3 linked regions of the Diceros bicornis minor genome follow. The protein of the gene in region 2 purifies or fractionates together with the protein of the main gene of each other region. This does not show direct contact. Links are inferred from orthologs where the notes say so. Each region holds a gene or a part of one and is shown on either strand. Other genes may lie near its edges.

What was found. The genes of interacting proteins can lie anywhere in the genome.
Region 1: the proteins of STRN (region 2) and CCT7 purify together in Homo sapiens (affinity purification with mass spectrometry; 3 studies listed by BioGRID and IntAct, with this or other methods). This does not show direct contact. The link is inferred for Diceros bicornis minor from reciprocal best matches to the Homo sapiens genes STRN and CCT7.
Region 3: the proteins of STRN (region 2) and CTTNBP2NL purify together in Homo sapiens (affinity purification with mass spectrometry; 5 studies listed by BioGRID and IntAct, with this or other methods). This does not show direct contact. The link is inferred for Diceros bicornis minor from reciprocal best matches to the Homo sapiens genes STRN and CTTNBP2NL.

Annotation. Positions count from the first base shown.
Region 1 is NC_080751.1:15,657,368-15,665,024, reverse strand, and holds the start of CCT7 (T-complex protein 1 subunit eta), read left to right. Parts: upstream 1-4,639; 5' UTR 4,640-4,721; coding exon 4,722-4,727; intron 4,728-7,657. Other genes in the region: PRADC1 (protease-associated domain-containing protein 1), read right to left, coding at 1-155, 430-539, 1,046-1,146, 3,384-3,450. UniProt on the Homo sapiens protein: Component of the chaperonin-containing T-complex (TRiC), a molecular chaperone complex that assists the folding of actin, tubulin and other proteins upon ATP hydrolysis.
Region 2 is NC_080751.1:47,156,578-47,164,048, reverse strand, and holds the start of STRN (striatin), read right to left. Parts: upstream 3,016-7,471; 5' UTR 2,877-3,015; coding exon 2,643-2,876; intron 2,502-2,642; exon of another isoform or gene 1,768-2,501; intron 1-1,767. UniProt on the Homo sapiens protein: Calmodulin-binding scaffolding protein which is the center of the striatin-interacting phosphatase and kinase (STRIPAK) complexes.
Region 3 is NC_080743.1:45,209,486-45,217,044, forward strand, and holds the start of CTTNBP2NL (CTTNBP2 N-terminal-like protein), read left to right. Parts: upstream 1-4,541; 5' UTR 4,542-4,676; intron 4,677-7,559. UniProt on the Homo sapiens protein: Regulates lamellipodial actin dynamics in a CTTN-dependent manner. Associates with core striatin-interacting phosphatase and kinase (STRIPAK) complex to form CTTNBP2NL-STRIPAK complexes.

The DNA.
Region 1 (7,657 bases), about 31 Mb from region 2:
GCAGGAAAAGGGCGGGGATGTCAGCCGTGCGCTGGGTACTGTCCTGGATCATCTCCACATAGAAGCTGTCATTGTCAACCGCGTTGTCAGAGATGATCACTGCCCTCCCGCCGTGCTCCTGCACCACCCGGGTCTTGGAGAGGAAGGAGCAGCCCCTGGAAGAGGTGGTGATGAGACAAAAGGAAAGGCAGGAGTTGCCCCTCCCACAGACCGTCACCCTGGGAGGATGAAAGGACCATGGAAAATTTTTTTATAAAGGCTCGTAAGTAAATGGCCAAAAGGCATGGATAATCTTAAGACATTTCTTTAAGACTCTTAAAAAAATTAGTTATTTAAAAACAGCTCTTTGAAAGCACCACCACCAACATTGGTCTCAGAATCTACCCCGTGCCTGACCTTCCCTTGTGCCAGTGCCTAACCGCTCCTCACCCCCTCTCCACCAGAGCGATCTGGTCCTGGATGAAGAAACCGTTGGTGAGTTCCCCGCAGGCCTCTGAAGGTTCCGCGGGGACGAGGTGAATCTGCTCATACCTCGTGTGCTGAAAGACATTTAGACAGGCCAGAGTGTGAGGAGACACGCCTGCTTTAGGACCCAGCTGACAAAGGGTGAAGGAAACGGGGAGTGGTTTCTGTGCGGTGGGCACTTGAGCATTTTACTTAATTCTCACAAAAGCTTAACTAGTTGTCCTCCTCAACCCTGCCTTTCCGTGAAATAGGGGAGTTGATATGGACCCAGAGAGGGGAAGTAACTTGCCTTAAGTGACACAGTGCAGAGATAGAGCTAGCAGAGCCCTTGGTTTTTCACCATTTCATGTCACCAAAGAAGACAGCTTGTCCCTCCATCGTGCGCAGGTTTGTATTATACCCAGAGGAGTAGCTGGAAGACCTTCCTTCCTGCACGGCAGCCCCTGGAGGGCAGAGCTGGATTCTGCTCCCTTCCCTGTCCCAGCACTCAGGTATTGGTTGAAGGGATAAGAGGGTCACCTCAGCTTAGTAGGGGGAAGGTGGAGACAGGATCAGAGACCTGGGGGCCTCCTGAACTTACAAAGATACCACCAAAGTCCTTGGCAGGTGTGGCTGTGAAGATGTAGCGAATGTCCCCAGGACTCAGCACTTGGAAGTACAAATAATCATGGATGCGTAAGCCTGAAAGATAAAGAGTACAGATGAGAAACCTCCAGGGAATGAGCTGGTTCGGGTTCAGATCATGGACCTGTGTCTTCAAATGGGCTGGCTATAGTCTGGGCCCAGGGACCCAGCTTCAGCCAAGTGGGTCCTCCAGGTGGTAGAGCAGATGGGGAGAATAGAGTTGCCCTGGGGAGAATAGAGTTGAGCAGACAGAATTAGTAATCCCAGAGATGTAGCTGCTGTTGCTGCTACACAGGTGAGCCAGGAAGACTGAGAGCTCTAGTGTTCTCTCTCTGAGGGTTAATCTGTCTTTGCTCTGAAGTGGACCCGAGAGTTTCAAGGTGGAGCTGTGGTACCAAACAGTCCTCACTAAAACTTAAAAGTTGACTGTCTGGTGCCGGCCTGGTGGCGCAAGTGGTTAAGTGCGCGCGCTCTGCTGCGGCGGCCTGGGGTTCGCCGATTCAGATCCCGGGTGCGCACTGACGCACCGCTTGGCAAGCCATGCTGTGGCAGCGTCCCATATAAAGTGGAGGAAGATGGGCATGGATGTTAGCCCAGGGCCAGTCTTCCTCAGCAAACAAAGAGGAGGATTGGCAGATGTTAGCACAGGGCTGATCTTCCTCACACACACACAAAAAAGTTGACTGTCTGGTTCCACTGCCACTCCCCTAGTTCAGCCACTATCGTTTCTTGTCCTGACTATTCCAGCTTCTTAACTGGTGTGTCTTCCTCCATTCTTGCTCTCTAAGGTCCATTCCCCAAACAACAGCCAGGGACCTTCTTAAAACGTCCTAAAGCAAATATGACCATGTCACCACTCATGGCTTTAATACCCTTCAACAACTTCCCTTTGCACTTAAAATCTAAACTCTTAGCTAAGGCCTGCGAGACCCTGCTCCATCTGGCCCTTGGCTACTCCTCCAACCTTATCTCTTCCTTCCTATGTTGAAGCTACGCTGGCTTCCTTCCAGTTTCTTCACTTCTCTGAGTCGTCTTGCAAGCTGCTCCCTCTATCTGGGAGGCTTCCTACCCTCACCCTACCCCACCTCTACCTCTTTGCCTGGCTCACTCCTACTCATCCATTAGGTCATAGCTTAAATGTCACTTGCTCAGAGAAACCTTCTGCTTATGACTGCCCTCCCCTTATGCCCATTCAAAATGTACTTTTTCTCCATTGAGATTTTCAACATATTTTATAATTATACAGTATTCATGATTTTTTGTTTAATGCCTGTCTCCTCCACTAGGGCAAGGACCATAAGTTTGTAGCTTCATTCAATGCTGTATCTGCGTTACCTAACACAGTGGCTAGGATGTAGTGAGTGCTCAATAAAGACTGTTGAATGAGTGAACAACAACTATTTTCAGCTCCATTGCCCTGAGGAAGAGAACTGCCAGCATGACCAAATTTTTCTGGGGTGGGGGAACATCTCTTCAGCACCAAACTTTAATGTTTTACCTGGACTTGAGTCCCTGGTTTTCTTAGCCCAGAGAGACTGAGGAATGTGGAAGGGTAGAAGCTGCTGCCACAGGTCCATTAGTCTATCAACAAACCACCAAGCCACTACTATGTGCCAGCGTTAGGACTGATTGTGCCTTTAGCTGTCATTGTCTACTGCCCAAATCACAGCCGCCAGGTAGAGCTCCATCCATTGGCTTGGCACTGGGCTATACAGCCTTTTATCCTGGGAGTGGTGACTTCCCATCAGACACAGATACACTCCCAGGAAGCCTTCCTGGACTAGCACAAACTCCTCCTCCTCCCCACACACATCTTTGCATCTGCTGATCTGTGTAAATTAAATGTGGGTATACGTATGTGCTCATGTATGTGTGTGGGTGTGTATGTGTGCTCATGTAGGTGCAAACAGGTTGTGTGTGTACCTGCGTACTTGTGCGTGTGAGCCCACGTGTAGGAATGTGTGCTCCTGTATATTGAGTGCTCACATACATATCTCTAGCCGTCCCTTATTCCTCCTCCTGGTCGCCCCCTCAGCCACCTGGGTCAGCGCTAGTGGGGTCTGGGGGCAGTCTTGCTTCGGCGTGAGGAGCTGAGGACTAAGAGCCTAGCCTCAGGCCGTGCTCAGCTCATGTCCCTGGGGACCAGCACCCACCCACTCCAGTCTCCCGTCCCCCGACCTGCCCTGCCCTGAATTCGCGGGGTCCCCAAGGTGACCCGTGGCCCCCGGCCCGAGACGCGTGCCAGCTGGACGGCCAGCCCCGCCCAGCAGCGCAGCCCCGCCGTTGCCACTCACCGTGGGCCGCGACGCACGCGGGGAGCCAGAGCACGAGACAACACCAGCCCGCGGCGCCGGGGACCATCTCCAGGGCCCGGCCCGGCACCGCGCTTCCTCCCCCTGCCCCGCCGCGCGTCGCTCGCCGGACTTCAGCCTGACAGCTGCTCCGGCCTCCCGCCCCCAGACCCGCTCTCGCCGCTGGTTGGTGGACGGGAACGAGGACCACGGCTGATTGGCTCTGACGCCTGCTTATATAACCGCACTTTCCGCCTCTGCGCCTTAGCCCACTTCCTACTGGTCGAGAGAAGTGGGGCCGAGGGGTGATTGGTCTAAACTCTTAACAGCAACTGCCGGCCCCCACCCCAACCCCGCCCCAGCATTTCTCAGTGTAGGTTCGACTCTCCAGGACCTAGCTGGCTGGTGGGCGGGCCGGGGAGGACAGGGAAATGGAGGTGGGGACCCTGCAGGACTCGCTTCAGCCGCCGAAAATCCTGGTCGTCAGCTTTTGCGGTCTCGGCCGGATCCTCCCCGCGGCCGCCTCGCACGACAGCGATTTGCCTTCTCCCAACTGTGCCTCCCTCTTCTCCACCCCCTCCTTGGGAAGACATTCGTCTAGCGACCCGGTGGTCACCCGCGACCCGCGCTCTGCTCGGCCTCTGCCCATATCCGACAGCGCTTGCGCGCTCACTGTCGGTAGGCGCTGGGGACGTGGCCTGATGCACCCCACCCTGGAGGAGGCTCTAGCCAGTGCAGAGCCAGAAAGCGGGCTTTGGGGCCAGGTGCCCACGCCTGCCTTTCTATCAGTTACTGTGTAACTATGACTTTGAACACCTTTCCTAACCTCTCAGCCCCAGCTCCCTCACCTGTAATATGGGCATGATAATAGTACCAAGGCGATAGGGTTGCAAGGATTAAGTGAGACCTCTTACGAAGTGCTTACTTAACATGAGCCTGTCCCACAGTCAGCGTTTAATAAATGTTTGCGTTTATTGCATGCCTTGGTCTGCCGTCCAGGGGGAAAGGGGGAATGCAATTAGGGTTAGTGGGGGTCACGCGGGCTGAGCAAGGATACTACACGCTCAAAGAAAAGGCACGACCGAAATCCGGTGACCTTTCGCTAACCAAAGCTTCTCGCTACAGCACCCTCGGAGGCCCAGCCTCGGGCCCTTCTAGCAACATCGACTCTGTGGTAATGAACCATAGGGTGGCGGAAGTGGCCCGTCCCCTTCCTCTCCCGGTCCAACCGCTCGGTGAAGCTTCTGGGGACTTCTCTGGCGCGGTGCATTGTGGGGTTGTTGGGCGGCCTGGATAAGGAGACGAGAGGAAGAGTAGCGGGCCATTGAATAAGCTTCCAAAATGATGGTGAGTGGCGTCTCGCGCATCCGTCGCCATCCGCTGCCATCTGGCCCATGGCTGGCGCCGCTCGGCCGGGGTCGGTCCTCTAAGGCCCTCCCCTGCCTACTGACTCTGTCCTCGCCCCGGCCCCCTGTCTGTGGGCGACCCCGGCCCGCCGCGGCCTGGCTTGGCCCGGGCGCGAAGCAAGGGCCCTGGGCGAGGGCTGTGTGGGGCTCGAGGGGAGGCTCTGGGCGGGTTGGCTGGGGACTACAAGTCCCAGGGTGCTTCGGGGCCGCGAACCCGCGTCGGAGACCCGGTTTTTGGAGCCCCTCACAATCTTGAGTTGTGTTAAACGAGTGCGGATTTGGCGCGCATACGCGGTCGGCGAGCAGACGTGGAAGCCCTGGCTTCCCTGGGAAATGCGGGTTGTAAAGACATGTGCCTCCTAGAACGGGCAGAAGCAGCATGGGACCTTGGGTTGGGCTGAGCCCCAGGTCTCAACTATGGTCGCTCGCTACGCCCCAGCTCGGCCGCTGCTGATAAACGGAAACAGACTCCTCCGCTCTCACTTTAATTCGTTCATCCACTCGTTCATTCGTTAAGTAAATGCGTATTTAGTGCCTACCGAATGAACCATGCCCAGCTGGTTGTTGGGGGTGCAACAACTCAGCCAGGAGAATGGGCAGGGCAGATGGGGACACTGCATCAGAGGGGGGAAGACGGCTCTGACTCCGACCCTGTCTGCCCCTTCGGATGTGACGTTAGACCAGGCTTTTCCAGTTGGCCAGCTCACCCTGGGTCTCGTTTTCTTAGATTAGGGAGGTTAGTGAATCCTAACCTAGGAGGCTCCCTGTAGCGCCCTTCGGCAGCATTCCTTCTCTGCATCTCAGAGCTGCAGGTACTTTACATGAGACCCAAGCCTCGGTGGTAACTCCTGAGTTGCTGTTGAACAGGGCCAGCTTTTAAGGAAGTGTTTGAGGCAAAACCCGACTAAGTATTGCTCCCTGTGCACTTGGCAGTTCACTCTTTCGCTTTGGCCTATCAGTCCCACTCAGTTCTCTGTTCTTTTCCTGCTTCCTGCCTCTTCTCTCTGTCCTGGTAGATGTCAAGCTGACACCTGTGAGGTGTTCATTTCTGCTACCAAATGCCCTGTGACTCCAGCTTGTACCCAAGAGAGAAGGAACCTGGCATTTATCTGTACCCCCCTCCTCTTCATACCCCAGTACTGCCCTTTTTCAGTCCTCTTCAACATCATCTATTCCTGAAGTCCTCTTCATTTTCTGTGCGGAGGCAGCATAGTAGAGGAGTAGAGAGTAAGGGCTCTGGAGCCACACCAAATGCCTAGGTTTGTAATTCAGTACTGCCACTTACTAAGTGTTTGACTTTGAGTATGTCATTACATTTCTGGCCCTTAGTCTGTTAGAGGGGATTAAATGAATTAATACGTATTAAGTGTGCCTAGCCTGTAGTGAGCACTCAGCAAATGTTAGCTGTGCTGCTGGGCAGTTGCTTGCTTCCTTTCTTCCCTGTAATCCATCCTGCTGCCAAGGCTACCATAAGAGTTTTGGTTGGCATTCAAAGAATGGGGGTCAGAAGCAAGGTTCTTCTGTCCAATGATGAAACCGTTCCCCAAGAGGCTCCAGACCACCACGCTTGGGTTTTTCCGGGACTGACCCCTGCTCTGTTTCCCTGCTGTATTGGCTGTTTATATCTCTTCTTTTGGAATGTGAAACTTCTGCCACCAGAATCCTCCTTGCTGTCATCAAATTGGTCCTTGATATTCTAGAAGCCTTCTGTGATTGAAAGAGAGGTAAAAGGTCCCCCAAAACCTCAGTCCTGTGACTTTGGTACAGCTTGTGCCACAGAACGTCCTTGCCTTTGTGGTGTTGAGCGCTGTATGCCTTGGCATATCAACACGTTGTTGTTTTATAGAACATCAAGCTTAATAAGGCTCAATAAAAGTTTTTAAGGAGGATGAAGAGGAAGATCATTAAGCTAAAATTCCCAAGTCTTCCATGATATCCTTTGCAGGGTACTGGAATCTGCTATTGTTTGTTTACATGAATACGAATGAGTGAGGTTGAAAAGTAACTTAGGGACAGAAGCTGGGCTTTCCATAGTGGTGCCTGCCCCTGGGGAATGGATAGAAGAAAACCTATCCTGCTTGACCTGACTTAGCTCAATCCAGCTCTGCCACCTTTTCCTCTCTTCCCCGCTTCCACATAGCGTCTCTCTACCCGGCCTGCCATTTCTTTTTTTTTTTTTTTTTTTTTTTTTAATTTTTTGTTTATTGCAGTAACATTGGTTTATAACATTGTAAAAGTTTCAAGTGTACATCATTGTACTTCTATTTCTGCATAGATTACATCATGTTCACCACCAAAATACTAATTACAACCCATCACCACACACATGTACCGAATTATCCCTTTCACCCTCCTCCCTCCCCCCTTCCCCTTTGGTAATCACCAATCCAATCTCTGTCCCTATGTGTTTGTTTATTGTTGTTATTATCTACTACTTAATGAAGGAAATCATACGGTATTTGACCTTCTCCCTCTGACTTATTTCACTTTGCATTATACCCTCAATGTCCATCCATGTTGTCACAAATGGCTGGATTTCATCGTTTCTTATGGCTGAGTAGTATTCCATTGTGTATATATACCACATCTTCTTTATCCATTCGTCCCTTGATGGGCACTTAGGTTCAAAATCACTAACTATCAGGGAAATGCAAATCAAAACTACAATGAGATATCACCTCACGCCCGTCAGAATGGCTATAATTAACAAGACAGGAAACAACATGTGTTGGAGAGGATGTGGAGAGAAGGGAACTCTCATACACTGCTGGTGAGAGTGCAAACTGGTGCAGCCACTATGGAAAACAGTATGGAGATTCCTCAAAAAATCAAGGATAGAACTACCATATGATCCAGCTATTCCGCTGTTGG
Region 2 (7,471 bases):
TCGTTTTCAAGAAAAATCCCAACGGCAAAAGAAAAATGAAGGGATGTTAAAATTTAAGGATGTTGCTATAAAGAAATGATTTAAAAAATATATTTTCAATTATGCTACTAAGGGAATCAAAGACTACAGATTTCGTGGAAACTCTCTCCCCCAATAATACATAATATAATACTTGTTCTGTTTGGAAAATATGACACATTTTTTAAGTTTCTCTGCGACAATTTAATTTGAGCACAAACCAAAAGACTGTAAAAATGTAGTGCCCTTAATATGATGAGCACCAATTGGAAACCTACCTGAAGTTTAACATTTGCCATAAGTAACCGAAAAAGTAGTGTGTGTGTGTGCGCGCGGGCGTGTGCGCACATATATGCACACAAACGCCCCATAACATTTCTGTCAACAATGAACCACATATACGATGGAGGTCCCATAAGATTAGTACCATACAGCCTAGATGTGTAGTAGGCTATACCACCTAGGTTTGTGTAAGTGCAGACTATGACGTTCACACAAAGACTGAATCACCTAATGGTGCATTTCTCAGCACGTGTCCCTATCGTTAAGCAACACGTGACTGTGTTGCTTAACAAACTGAATAAAAAACTGAAGAGTGATTAGTTACAGGTAAATTGAAAAGTTTAAACATGGTGGGGTGGGGAGGGGTGAGACGGGCTGGAAATTCCCAAACTTCCACAAGTAGGAAGGTAAGAACTGTTTTCTTGTTTGTTTTTGACCAAATTAGTGTGACAGCTTACATCCCCTAAACTGGAAAAGAAATTAAAACTTAAGCAGCTACATACAAAAATCATTCTCTGCAACTGTACAACGTTCAAGTTAAAGCCTGCCTTTAAGGCTTCCTTGAAATCTGGAAATCCACAAGCTCTTTTATGGAATGCATTGCTAAAAAGGTGAATTACCAATAAATTTAAATGAAGCATTTAAGTCTGCTGGTTACTATACAGACATGGTCAGATTCATTACGAGAAAAATTACAAAGATCAATAGACTAAATACTAAAGGAACATAATAGTAGGGATGAAAAAGCTGCCAAAAAATATAAACATACAACTAACTGTAGAATAAAGAACCAGAAGGAATCTTAGAAACAATGGGTCACTCACCGGGCTTCATTCAACCCCTCCCAGAGGTCTTCCCTAACCACCTCATCTAAAATATCTGCCCCTATCACCCTCTATTTCTGTACCCTGATTTATTTTTCTCATAGCAGTTGCCACTATGGGTCAGTATATTACATAGGTGCATTCGCTGACTAAAACATAAACTCCATGAGGGCAGAGGCTTTGTCGGCTTTGTTAATCCCAGTGCCTAGAAGCACACAGCTAGCACTCAATAAATGTGCTGAATAAATAAATGATGAAACTGAAGTTAAGAGAGGTTAAAGGACTTCCTCAAGGTCACAGAGCTAGCAGCAAGCACAGCCAGCACCCTGCCTGCTTGCTCTTTCCACAGCCCCTTCCACTACACCAAAGCAGCCTGTTCCAGCACATGATTCTATTTAACAGATTTCTCCTTTCCTTTTTTTTTTTAAAGTGCCCAAGAAAATACATGTTACCAAAAAAAGGGATACATTGGCTAGCATTTTAACTTCAAGTGTTTCACCAACCAAAACTTTACTCAGATTTCATAAGCATACAGGATTAGCCAGTAAAACAGAAAAGCACAGCCACTCATAGTCCTTTAAGTTCCCTGTGAAATTGGCGTCTGCCTTGGAAGTTTTAAGAACAGCCACTGAAACCTACTTACCAATTCAGAACGGCCTGTAAAGTGTCAGCCTCACTTTCATTCTTCTAAGAGCCCACAATAGCTCCTCCCTGGATATACTTTATCTTGCAGATTATGCAAGGAAATGTAACCAACTTTAAAGCCCTGTTTAGTGCCTTTTAAAGTACAAGTCAATCTCACAAAACACAACGTAGAATTAACACTTGAGAAGTTTTAGATTCTGAGAACAGGAAACCATCACCTGACTGTGATCATCTAAGCTCTTCATTCAAAATCCACGAATCTGAAATACCTAAAAGAAACGCGGAGGGGGTGAGGGAGAGGGAAGAGAAGAAATATTTGCATATGTAAAAGGGGAGCTGATAGTCCTAGTAACACTTTCACCCAACATCAGCTTCTTGCCTAAAGTCAAGGCCTCACGAACACAACTTCTGTTGTCTTCTTTGATCACCTTCCTTTCAGACAGAGGAGACAACTGCCAATACCTTTTGCGGGGAACGTCTCTAGACCTAGCATGAGCCTCACTACGGCAGTGTATGATCTGCTCGGCATCTCTCAAAACTACTGTCAGCCCAATTAGTAAACTGACAGGGAAGACCTAAAACGTGCGATGGCAAGAGCTGAAATGAGACTGAGTTAAGAGTGGGAAGGTGTAGACGCAAAGGAGCAGGGAGGATAAACAACGCATCAGGGGCGGGAGTGGGAACCCGGGTCAAGGAAGTGGGGTCAGCGAAAGCCAAAGGTGAAGGGGGGAAGGGGACGAGGTTCTGGTGGGATAGGCGGGAGCAAACCGGGAGAGAACCAGCGAGGGCTGAGGGGGGAGGGGAAGGGTCCGGGGCGGGGCGGAAGGGAGCGAAGAGGCGGGATGAAGAGGGCCTGGCCGGGAGGGTCTTTACCTGCAGCTCCGCCCGCTCCACCTCCCACTGGGCTCTCTCCACCTCGAAGCGGGCCCACTCGTGCTGCAGGAAGTGCAGGATCCCTGGCAGGCTGTACTGGGCTCGGGCCGCCCCCGCCGCAGCCGCCCCGTCGCCCGCAGCGGCAGCCTCCGCCAGAGGCCCGAGACCCTTGGCACCGCCGGCGCCCGGGTGGTTGTTGCTGAAGAAGACGCCGGGACCCGCCTGCTCGTCCATGGCGGCCGCAGAGACCCGGGGAGCTGCCCAGGCAGCCAGCAGCAGAGGCAACGGCGGCGGCCAGCAGCGCCTCCTCCTCCCTCCGCCGCTCCCCGCCCACACCCCAGTCAGCAGGGAGCAGCCTGGGCGCGGGGGCCGGCTGAGCCCGGGACGGGCCGGGAAATGGGTCAACTGCGGCGCGCGAGCGGCCTGGGGCTTGCTGGGAAATGTAGTCCCGGGGCGTGGGGCGGGCGTCCGCGGCGGAGGCGGCCTGTGGGGATGCGTACGGCTCGGGCGCGGCCGCGGCCCCGCCCCGGCCGGCGACGGCGGAGGGCGGCCCCGCGGGCAGCGCGGGTTTCCTCGCGGTCGGGCTAGGCGCGGGGGGGCGGTGCTCCAGTCTCTCTCGCACGCGGAAGTCATCGGGCGGTGCTCCCTGCCGCACACTCACATACGGAAGTTATCACGCCAAAATACCGGCCCGAGCTGCACATCTTTTAGGGTTTCCTGGTAGTTCTGTTAAGAAACAAGCTCAAAGCGAGCTTCTCCGGTCCGGCCCCTGCACTGGGGTCTCCAGCCGATCTCAGCCCTCCCTCTTCGGCTCCGACTTCGGTGTTTCTCTGATCCAAGACATTCCCCAGTTCTGCCAACCCGAGTATCGCTATCGCTCCTGCCTTTCTTTTTCACTCGGGGGTTCAAACCTGTTGCCTGATCAGTTTTCACTGATAAAGAACTCTGATGACCTCTCTCCTAGACTGGCAGCGTTCAGCTTCTTCCAAATTCTGGTTTGTTCACACCTCATCTGAAACAGTGCTCCGCTCAAGTCGCTTTCCCTTTGCAGTTAATCTTGCAGTAAATCCTGTAAATTTTCAGATACCCAAGGCTCTGTTATTTCAGTCTCCTTTTTCCGTGCAGTTTTTACTCAATTCAATTAAACAAATATTTGATTGTCGGTTATATCTGTCGCTGGGGATATAAAGATAAAGGACACAGTTCCTGTCATCAAAGGGAGATTGGCAAGCATATAATCAATTCTCACAGTGCCTTAAAGCTACACTACCTAAAAGAACAAAGTCCCCTTTCTGCTCCCTAGAACTGTCTTAGGTATGCAGGCGCTTCTCATTTTCACTTGTCCCGTTCCCAGTTTCTTCCACGGTTCACCTGCAAACTGGCAACAATATTAGCCTACAAAGGCACACCAAAGTCCTTTCAAGCGTTTCTCGGTAAATGTTATCCGTCTCCGAAATCCCTGAAATTACGTCATTATAACTTCAGACTACCATAATGAAAGGAAGGTGCCTGAAAAAATTTAACAAATGAAAATGATTTTAAGTACTTAATTTATCACCCGAATAAGTTTTTTGTAATTCTTTTGTTTTGTGGGGTATCAGACCTGATGGTTATGAAAAAAATTAAAGATACAGTCTGGTGAGTGATATGTAAAGGAAGGACATCCTGTCCCTGTGCTCTACCCTCCTCTCTTCCCATGGCTACATGTGGAAAAGACAGGAAACACGTTGTACCTGCTCTGGTTGCAAATAAAGATGGCAGGCTCTCTTCTCCCAGTTACTGAATGTTTCTGCTTTATGAGTTCATTCTTTATTATAATAAAAGGTTGATCCAGGCCTGGCCAAATTCCCTGTGTCATAAATTGTTTTGGCTGTAATTGTCCTTTGAGATACTGCCCAATCCTGTCATTCTACAGCTCAAGAAACTAAAGTCCAAAGAAGTTGAAACTTGTCCACAATGAGGCTTTGAGGAGTGGCACAGCCAAGATTAGAAACCAGAATTCCTGACTGCCAGTTCATTGATCTTTCCGTTAACACATTGCCTCCTCTCTTACTTAGACCTATCAAGTAACAAGGGGACAATAATGAACAAGGGCATGTTTTTTCATCTGAGGGATTTAAGTAATCTCACAATGTTGAATGTTAAGAGCTATTTTTTTCTCTAATAGTTAGAAGACAGGTCTGAAAAGGCCTTTAAATCAATTCATAACAGACTATAAAACAAATTTATAGATAACTTGGACTATCCCACATACAACTGTGCTTTAGTGCATAGTTCGACTTTCTTACTCAATATCTTTTTGCTTTTCAAGGACTTGTTTATACACAAAACTATTTATGATCTATAATGTCATGACACCGTCACTCAATATACCAAAATATTAAGAATGATTATATTAAGGTGGAATTCTGAAGAAATTTACTTTTCTCTTTTTCTAAAAATTTCCATATGTGGTACTAATTCTTTTGTAATTTAACAAAAAAACATTACTTTTGAAAGAAGACTTTCCCTTGGAGTTCTTTTGCCCTAAATTTCTTTAAGAGAACGAGGACCATGAATCCCATCATTTCCTCCTATACTGAATCAGCTTCTGAAACTGTTAGTTTTTGAGTAGTGAGCTTACCAGTGATTTTTTTTTCCCCTTTGTGCTTGTCTATATTTTTCATTTTCTGTATTCAGCATGAATTACTTTTTTTTAAGTAAACACTTTATCACATGTAACATATATACAGAAAAGCTCACAAGTGGTAAATGAACAACTCAATGAACTTTCACAAACTGAACCCTTCCACATCACCACCAGCCAGATCATGAAACAGAACATTGCAGGCATCCCAGAAGCCCCCACTTGATGTGCATTCTCAGTCACTACAGCAAAAATGTTTTTGAATTTGAAAAAAAAACAATAACTAGAAAGGATATGGCAATTAGTGAAAGCTAAATTTTATTCCTCACACTACAATTTTTCAAGTCTGGAAATCTTAGACAAATGGTTTAACTTTTTCAGCCACAACTCTCTCATTTTTAACATGAGAATAACATTTACCTTATAAAGTTACTGTGAAGATTAAATGAGAGAAGAAATGTAAATCCCCTAACACAGTGCCTGATATATAGTATAAAGTGAATAATGATAGCTGTTATTGTGCTAGAGTTCACAAGACTAACTGAAATAACACTTGTAAAAATCATGAATACTAGGGGCTCAAAAACTGTTCTTTTTCCTTTCTCATCCCCTATTCAGAACTTTAATCCAGCAGAGTTAAAATAATCTTTAAAAAAAAATTAATGCCTACACCTATTACGTATGCCTCAGCCCTCAAGGTGTTGCTGATTTCCTGATTGTTTCATTTTATAATTAATAAAGCCTGTGACACAAAAAAATAGGGTTTCTTTTCCAAGCACAGAAAGCAGCTGTCGAAATGTTGATTTATATATCAGCATAACCAGTTTAAAGTGAAAAATTGTGAAATGCTAGAAGGTTATTTAGATAATTGAAGTGTTTGCTATTTTTTGGTTTATATGTGTATGCTTTGTGAGGTAGGGATTATAGTTCTACACAGTGACAATTCATCTGCTCTTTTTTTTTCTCATTAAAATGAGTGCTGGGGCCGGCCCGGTGCCGCAAGCGGTTGGGTGCGCGCGCTCCGCTGCGGCGGCCCAGGGTTCGCTGGTTCGGATCCCAGGCGCGCACCGAAGTACTGCTTGGTAAGCCATGCTGTGGCGGCGTCCCATATAAAGTGGAGGAAGATAGGCACCGATGTTAGCCCAGGGCCGTCTTCCTCAGCAAAAAAAGAGGAGGATTGGCGGATGTTAGCTCAGGGCTGATCTCCTCACAAAAAAAAAAAAAAAAAAATGAGTGCTATTGGGGCCAGCCAGGTGGCGCAAGCAGTTAAGTGCGCGTGCTCCACTGCAGCGGCAGGGGGTTTGCCGGTTCGGATCCCGGGTGCGCACCGACGCACTGCTTGGCAAGCCATGCTGTGGCGGCGTCCCATATACAGTGGAGGAAGATGGGCACAGATGTTAGCCCAGGGCCAGTCTTCCTTAGCAACCAAAAAAAAAAAAAAGAGGAGGATTGGCAGATGTTAGCACAGGGCTGATCTCCTCACAAAAAAAAAAAAAAAATGAGTGCTATTTTTTAAAAACTGTTCAAAATGACAAGTTATTTGATAATTTTATTTATTTATTTTTTTCCCCAAAGCCCCAGTAGATAGTTATATGTCATAGCTGCACATCCTTCTAGTTGCTGTATGTGGGACGTGGCCTCAGCATGGCTGGAGAAGCGGTGCGTTGGTGCGTGCCTGGGATCCGAACCTGGGCTGCCAGTAGTGGAGCGCACACACTTAACTGCTAAGCCACAGGGCCGGCCCTTAAATGACAAGTTATTTGGGTCTCTGACTCTTTAACTGCTCAAAGAAAAGCTTCCAAGTTGAACTTGATGGCTCTTTCAGAATTCTGGCCAGAAGAAAAGGAGTGGACTGCTGGACTGGAGAGAGGCCTCTGCTAGGGTGAACAGAACTTTGGGGAAAAGGAATATTCAATAAACCACTATTTATCAACCCCTTCTACCATGTGCCCACTCCCTAATTTCTGTCACCTGTCCCTTCTGCCTACTCTGCTTCTACCTTTCCTCAGCCTCCAAACTTACTCCCTAGTTTTGAAGTCTGGTAATGACTGGGTTGGGGAAACAGCCAATCACAAGTTGGGAAGTGGAGGAATTCTAATATCTAAATTTTTTCTGGGAGTCCAAGAATTAAATCTATATCACAGTCTTGTGATAAGATGGGAAAATAGCCTCTATTATTTATTATTATTATTACTATTATTTT
Region 3 (7,559 bases), on a different chromosome or scaffold from region 2:
TTGAAAGAGTGTAAACAGATACACAGGTAGACAGACCTGTTTTTAATAACGTTGTGCTAAATGTCCTCATTTTGGGGGAAAGGTGTTTGAATGTTTGTGGGCATGAGGCCACTTCCTCCTTTTCTTCAATATAGATATAAATCTTGTTGGCAACATATAGGAGAAACAATGAGAGAAACAGATGTACACACAGAGAGAGAGAAAGAGACAGACATTCACACACACCCACTGAGATACGCCAGAGATGCCTGAGTCTTAAAACAGAGCTAAACAAAACAAAAAGCTGATACCCATCATGGTGTCCCAGAAAGTGGATTAGACTGGATCTTAAAAAGACATGAGTGTGAGACCTAGTTTTACTATTTAACTATAATCTTCAGTAATTCACTTAACAACTGTGGCCTCAATTTTCATCTATAAAATGAGAGTGCTGAATCAGATTATTTCTGAGGTCCCTTCCAGCTTTATGAATCACATTTTAGCGGAGGTTTTTCCACTACACAATTCCTAAGGCTGATAAAATGAGAAGATCAGATGTAAACAGTGGTTACCAAGCAGTGGTTACTAAGGAAGCCTCTGTAATCAAATTACCAAGGTTCAAATCCCATTTCTGCCATATACTAGATGTGAGACCTTGAGCAAGTTATTTAGCCTCTGTGCCTGTTTTCCCATCTGTAAAATGGGGATGATGACGATGAATTCATTGGTGCTGATTATACATCAATCCCCATCACCTAAGGTTGTTGTGAGGACTGAATTAATGCATGTCAAGTACTTAGAACACTACCTGGAACATATTAATGTTTAGCTCAATAAATGTTTATCTTTTTATTATTACTATTATTGCTTGAATTCTTAGAAAACTATGTTATAAAACTCTGAGGTAGTGGTAATTAAGGTTGATAAGCTCAATTATATCATCATTAATTTCTGTACTAAGCATAAATCCAGAAAATCTGTTATCCTAGAATCTGCTTTGAGTAGAGCACTGTGTATTTGAATAGAGTACTGAAAGTATTTTCAATGTTGACCTTAAAGAGTATTAGCTTTATTACAGAACTGGTTTCTTAAGGCTTACTTCAAAGTCTATATTGACAGTACTGGATAAACAAGCATCTCGATCCCTTAGCACTGTTGTAATTTCTTTGTAAGTGTACTATTCATATTATATTTCAGGATCCTGAAATTGATAATCTCTAAAAGTGTTTCAAAACCATTCTGTTTTATATAATGCTACGTATAGTATGGCTGGAAAAAGCAGACTGATAAGACAAAGCAAGGCATTCTGAAAAATGTGTTATAGCAGTCTTGTGGTAAGGGGAAGGCTAGATCTAGTTGCTCTGATGGTCTTTAAAAGTAGTAAATGATTAGCATGTCGTATTAGTTTGCTAGGACTGCCATAACAAAGTACCACAGACCGGGTGGCTTAAACGACAGAAATTTATTTTCTCACAGTCCTGGAGGCTGGAAGTCCAAAATCAACCTGTCAGCAGAACTGGTTTCCTCTGAGGCCTCTCTTGGGCTTGTAGATGGCTGTCTTCTCCGTCTGTCTTCACATGGTCTTTCCCTGTCCCGTGTTTGTGTCCAGATTTCCTCTTCTTGTAAGGATACCAGTTATATTAGATTAGATCCCACCCTAATGACCTCATTTTAACTTAATTACCTCTTTAAAGACCTCATCTCCAAATGCAGTCACATTCTGAGGTCCTGGGGATTAGGACTTCAACATATGAAATGCGGGGGGGACATAAATCAGCCCATAACACATTATAATACATAGACACATAAAAGTCCAAATAGTCCCGTAATACCTGTTAACTTCAACTGAAAGAAGATCGATTTGACATTTGTAGTAAAGCTTACATTGCTTAGTATTGTAGAATTCAGTAAAAGGAGATTTTACACCTTGGTTTTAGAAACTTTGTAAATAATAATAGCAAAAACACCTCGCTTTAGTAAATGTACAGAAGATCTGCTTTCTTGATCAGAAAATTATTTTCTGTTAGTTTTTTGACGTATTTTTCTTCCCTAGCCTAATCCTAAAATGCCACAAGTGGAATGAGAGGTATAGTTTGGAATGTTGTCACTCTCTTACCCCCAAATGCATAAATAACCCTTCTGAAAAACCAGAAGTGCCAGAGGGTGGGGAAACTTACATCTTTTGAGATAGTCAAGGTAATGTGTCAACACCTTCCACCCCTAAATAGGAGGTTGCTTTGGATACATTTTTAAAAATAGCAGTGCATTTTTGTCCATATTTAGATTTAGTATTTATAAATGTGACATGTTTATTTTTTTTTTAATTTCATATATACTAAGTTTTTAAGGAAGTACGTTATCTAGTGGAAAGCTGTCAAAAAACACCCATTTTGTATGTCAGTGTTGACTCTGAATTTTGAGAATTAATTGGCCTCCTGTATTTTGGTTTTGTTTATATGTATGTGAAAGAGTCTACATAATTGGAGCAGACTTGCTTTATATCTTTGCCATATCTTATCACTAATACTAAAAACTTACTGAATGGCCTGAATCTCAGTCAATTGTAGCCCAAGTATAAATTTCTTAAATTTGATGTCTGAGTATGTAATAAAGAAGTGATTTTTATCCAGTTTTGCAAGAGTGATCTCCTGGGTAAAACAACTGATTTGTTTTTTATTCTAGCCAAGTTGATTTAAAAAAAAAATGTAGTTTTTTTGAGGTGTTTCTATGTCCAGAAATATCCAAGACTCATCTAGAAATGTTGTTTTCCCTCTTCCATGCCCCATATCACCCACCACTTAGAAATAAAGCCTTCAGTTCCACATAAAGACATACGCACACCCAGATACTAGATAGACAAACATCTTACTTATACTCCACCCTGCCCTGCCCTACTGCTTACATAGCTATAGAAGCTGTTTGGGGTGTTTCTTTTTCTGCCACCCAATCTCTATGTGTTAAAAAACAACAACAATGCCTGCTATCCTATAGAATTAATTCAGAGTTCTAAAGCAAAAGCTGGGACTTCCTCAAGAAGGAAAAAGCACAACCACAACCAGAATGAGTGGAGCTTAGGTATTATCCAGAGAAGGGAAAAGGTCAGAATAAAATGAACAGAGCCCAGGCCACAGCAGCATACTTCCATGGCAAAATCAGCACTGCCCTTTAGGAGGCTGGGAGGGTGGGAAGGAGGGTGCCCTTCTTAATAGCCATAACTCTTGTGACCGTTGGCACGTGAAAGTTCATATAGAAGAGACTTCTGCCCTCCTGGCTATTGGCCCTGACTTGGTGGGAAGTAGATTGTGAATAGACCAAATGGTATGCTGGGCAAACTCATGTTTGAAATCAGTTACTGATGACTTAAAAACAAGTTTCCTACTTAGCCCATAAATAGCCTTATTTTTCCAGGGTATTAAAATATCTATAACTTTATCTTTTTTATTATATGTATTTTTTAATTGAGAAAACTATAAAGCTTAATATAGCTACAGCTGGCTGTACCACAGGGTATGATAATGTATCCAGACAACTTGTCCACAAATGGTTTTCATTTCAAATTTATAGACTGTAGCATTCCTTAGACAGAAACATCTGCCTCTAAACTCTAAGGAAAGTTGGGTCTTAGAGAGATTCTAATGGAAGGAATGAGCTGAGCATCTGGTTGAAATGATCTTGTCTTTCAAAGTTACTTACTAGATGATGACAATGACAAGTAACAGCTCATTTACAAAATAAGTAGAGAATGACTCTGTAGACTACAACCTGGCATGCCAAAAATCTAGCAGTCATATTTCTGATAATGAATATGGAGTTAGATACAGCCTTTTTCTGAAAATATTGGGCCACATGATTTATATGTTGGGCAGAAAGTAGAGTCCAATAGACTTGGTGCCTTAAAATACGAGACAAAAATTATGTTTTATCAAATAAAATTTAAAGCCTATAATTTTTTTAAAAGTTTGCTGGGTCTAATACACTCTTATGAAAACATAAAAAAATTTGTATATAATTCAACATTTAATATTTTAAAATAAATGGGAAAAAGTAGAAGCTGGGATGAATGATCACCCTTACAGACAAAGTTGAGATGGTGACAGGTTGTCTTTTTGTTTATTGATTGGCAGGAGGTGAGCAGATGAGAATTCTCCTTACGCGAATTTGGCAGTTTAAAAAGTTCAGTTGTAATTATGTTATTTTTCTATCTGAGTGCCTTGTGCATACGTCATGGTGATTCAAGCAAATAGGCTTTTGTCAATACGGGGAGAGAAAGTCAGTCTCTTCTAGTGACATTCATAAGTTAGTCCTTGAAATGACAGTGGACATCTTAAAGTAAAAAAGATTTTGAAAGTTCTCACTTTTCCTAATTATAATTGCAAAAGGGAAGTCAGATTCCTGGTGTTTTTCCTGTATTGCTTAGCCTCAATTTGAAGAAGTGGCTATTTTCTTCTTTCTTGTCTGTATCAACCTACAGCTGTCAGGCCTCATCACCTGTAATGACGGTTGACATTCGTGGGATTTACAAAATTGTTTGTAGTGTGGTCACACAGACAATAAATTTCTTATTATTTTGCAGCATTGGACACTTTTCCACCATGCTGACGGCATTTTAAATATATTCGTCAATTTTCTCAAATTGTAACTGAAGAAAACCTTAAGAATTTATACTTGAGGACTGAAGTGTGACTGCCAATAATCAGGTCAGTATCACCCCCATCCCCACCCCCACCCCCACCCCAGGAATATCACTGCCATCTTAAAACATAATGCAGTTTTACTATCTTTCATTTATATTTCTGACAAAAATTTATTGCAATGTTTTGTGTATTGAGATTAGATACAAATGTAAAAAACTGCTAAATTTTAATATTTATAAAGAAAAGTTATGGGAATATGGGAAAACAGACCTGTTGGTTTTTTAATTATACAGCTGTGGCCCTTTATTTCCTCCTGTGTCATATTTGTATTGTATTCACTTCATGTAGACAGTAAGCTAAATGAGTTGGTACATATTAGCAGAATGTTCCAGGTATTAAAATTGGTGTACAGAAGTGATTTACAAATGTAAAGATAACAAGAATATTGTTGTTTATGCCATTGACAAAGAATAGAATTTTTCCTGCCTAGGCTGGACTGCTTTATAATTAAAGTAACTATGCAGATTGTTTCAATTTTACTTCAATTTTTATGAGGATGTATATTTATCACAACAGATCAAAGACTGATTTAGGTACAGTCTGTTTTAGTTCTTTGTGTATTTACCTCTTACTCTTATTTAACAGGATTCTCTAACAAATAATTCTTGATTTTTACCATAATTCTTGATTTTTACCCATGAAAGCTTAGAATGGAACCAAGAAGGACCTTAGAGATTATCTAGTCTGTCTTATTTTACCTGTGAGGAAACTCAGTGCCAGAGTAACTGGGTAATTTTTTTCTTCAAGGCCATATAGCTGTTTAGTGGCAGAGCTGAGATTAAAATTCTGCACTCCTCACTCCCAGTTTTCCTCATATCATACTGCTTCTTTAAGCCACAGCTTTGGATCTCTAAATAAGAATATTTAAGGACTATGAAGATATTGAAGGAAAAAAGAGTAATATGTGTGAACACTATCATTTTTAGTTCTATTCCTACCTTCCTACCTTGGTGCTTGTCCATCCAGTTGATTTACTCAGTGCAGTGGGTATTTATGGAGCCTCCTTACCAAGTCCCCATTATTTCCGTTAACATCATAGGAGGAGAGAGGAAGGGCATAAAATGATAGGATTTTTCCTCTGCCTTATAATCTCTCAGAGAGAGATTAAAACATGAAACCATCAGGAAGAGGGAGAAGGGTTTCATCTAAGAAACCAGTGTGACTCAACTGGTAGTTTAAATCCTTCACCGTTCTTCACTCCAGGATGCTATCACCCTTCTTCATTTGTGGTTCCCAACTACAAAAGGGCAGCTGAAGCTATTTCTGAGGTCATTGATCTTGGCTGCCCCCAGATTTGGGAATGCCTTTCTTAGAATTCTTTTGGAAGAAGAGAAGATAGTAGTTATTAATGATTAAACCATTGTTCAGCTTATATCAGGAACTTGGCAAGATGTTTTCCACTTATTAACTCAGTCTTCACAGCAACCTAATGAGTTAGATGTCGTCATCCCCCTTTCACAGATAAGAAAACTTGTCCAAAGTCACACAACTAGGAAGATGCAGACCTGGCATCTATCTGACTGCAAAGCCACGTGCTCTCTCCAGCATACCATCTTATATTAAGTATAGCTTTTCTGGGTTTGTTGTTTTTTTAGTTCTTATTTTTAAAATAACTGTTGTGAAATGTCTCTCTGATACTGAAGTGAGAATCACTTATTAGTTGCTAAAACTTACTAGGTAGAAAGTTAGCAGTTAGAGGTGAAGTTACATTGAACATATTTTACCATGGGGCAAAAGATTGGTACAGCATGTCCTGGAACACAGTCTAACGTCCTCTCCTTCATTTAAAGGCAGTAGCTCTGGAAGGAGTCAATGACTCTTTTGTGTGCCTCCTAAAATTTAATGTGCTTCTAGGAGTCAGGAATTACTGGAGGGTGTGTGAACTAGTTATGTTGTGATTCACCTTAAAGAAAACTATGAAAGTGGCTGGGGCCGGCCCGGTGGTGCAAGCCGTTAAGTACGCGCGCTCCGCTGCGGCAGCCCGGGATTCACCGGTTCGGATCCCAGGTGCGCACTGACGCGCTGCTTGTCAAGCCATGCTGTGGAGGCGTCCTATATAAAGTAGAGGAAGATGGGCACGGATATTAGCTCAGGGCCAGTCTTCCCCAGAAAAAAGAGGAGGATTGGCATCAGATGTTAGCTCAGGGCTGATCTTCCTCACAAAAAAAAAAGAAAACTAAAAGTGACAATTTGGAAGTAAAAAGTGGGAGAGGGAAAATAGTATTTGCTCTACTTTGGAAGTTATAAAATGTATCTTACTATACACAGTGGTCAGGAGACTCTTAAAGATTGTGTAGCAGTCTAACTTTTATGTATAGTTGCTGAGACATTAATCTTGTGGAAAGGACTGAACTTGTGCCATGCAATTTGCCATTTAACATATTTCAAAAGATGCAAGACTTCATAGAGATGTGAACTTGTTAAGTCAAATAAATTCAGTCTGTAGTAGCCTGGCCAAATAAGCTGTTTAAACAATATATTTTAAGCAGTCATTTAAAAGTGTATTTGTATATATTTGCATTTAAGTCTTATTTTACTATATGGAATATAAATATTGTGATAGATGTTCTCTGTGAAAGTAGACAATTTAAAAGAAGAATTTCACCTATACTCCTACCAAACATTATCTTTGCTCAAATTTTATTTCAGCCAATTTCAGAGGGATGCCAGAATGTTTTATATACAGTTTTGGAATTTGGTTATCTAAAACTTGGAAATCTTTTCATGGTCTAACAATTTTTCAGTGGAATAGTATTCATTGTAATACAATTTTACCTGAACTTCTAGTGAACAAAATTAATGACTAATTCTTTCTGAGACCTTCTAGGATGTTTGTAAATATGCCTAGAGGAAAAATGATGAAAAATTGATCTTGTGAGTGGTGAT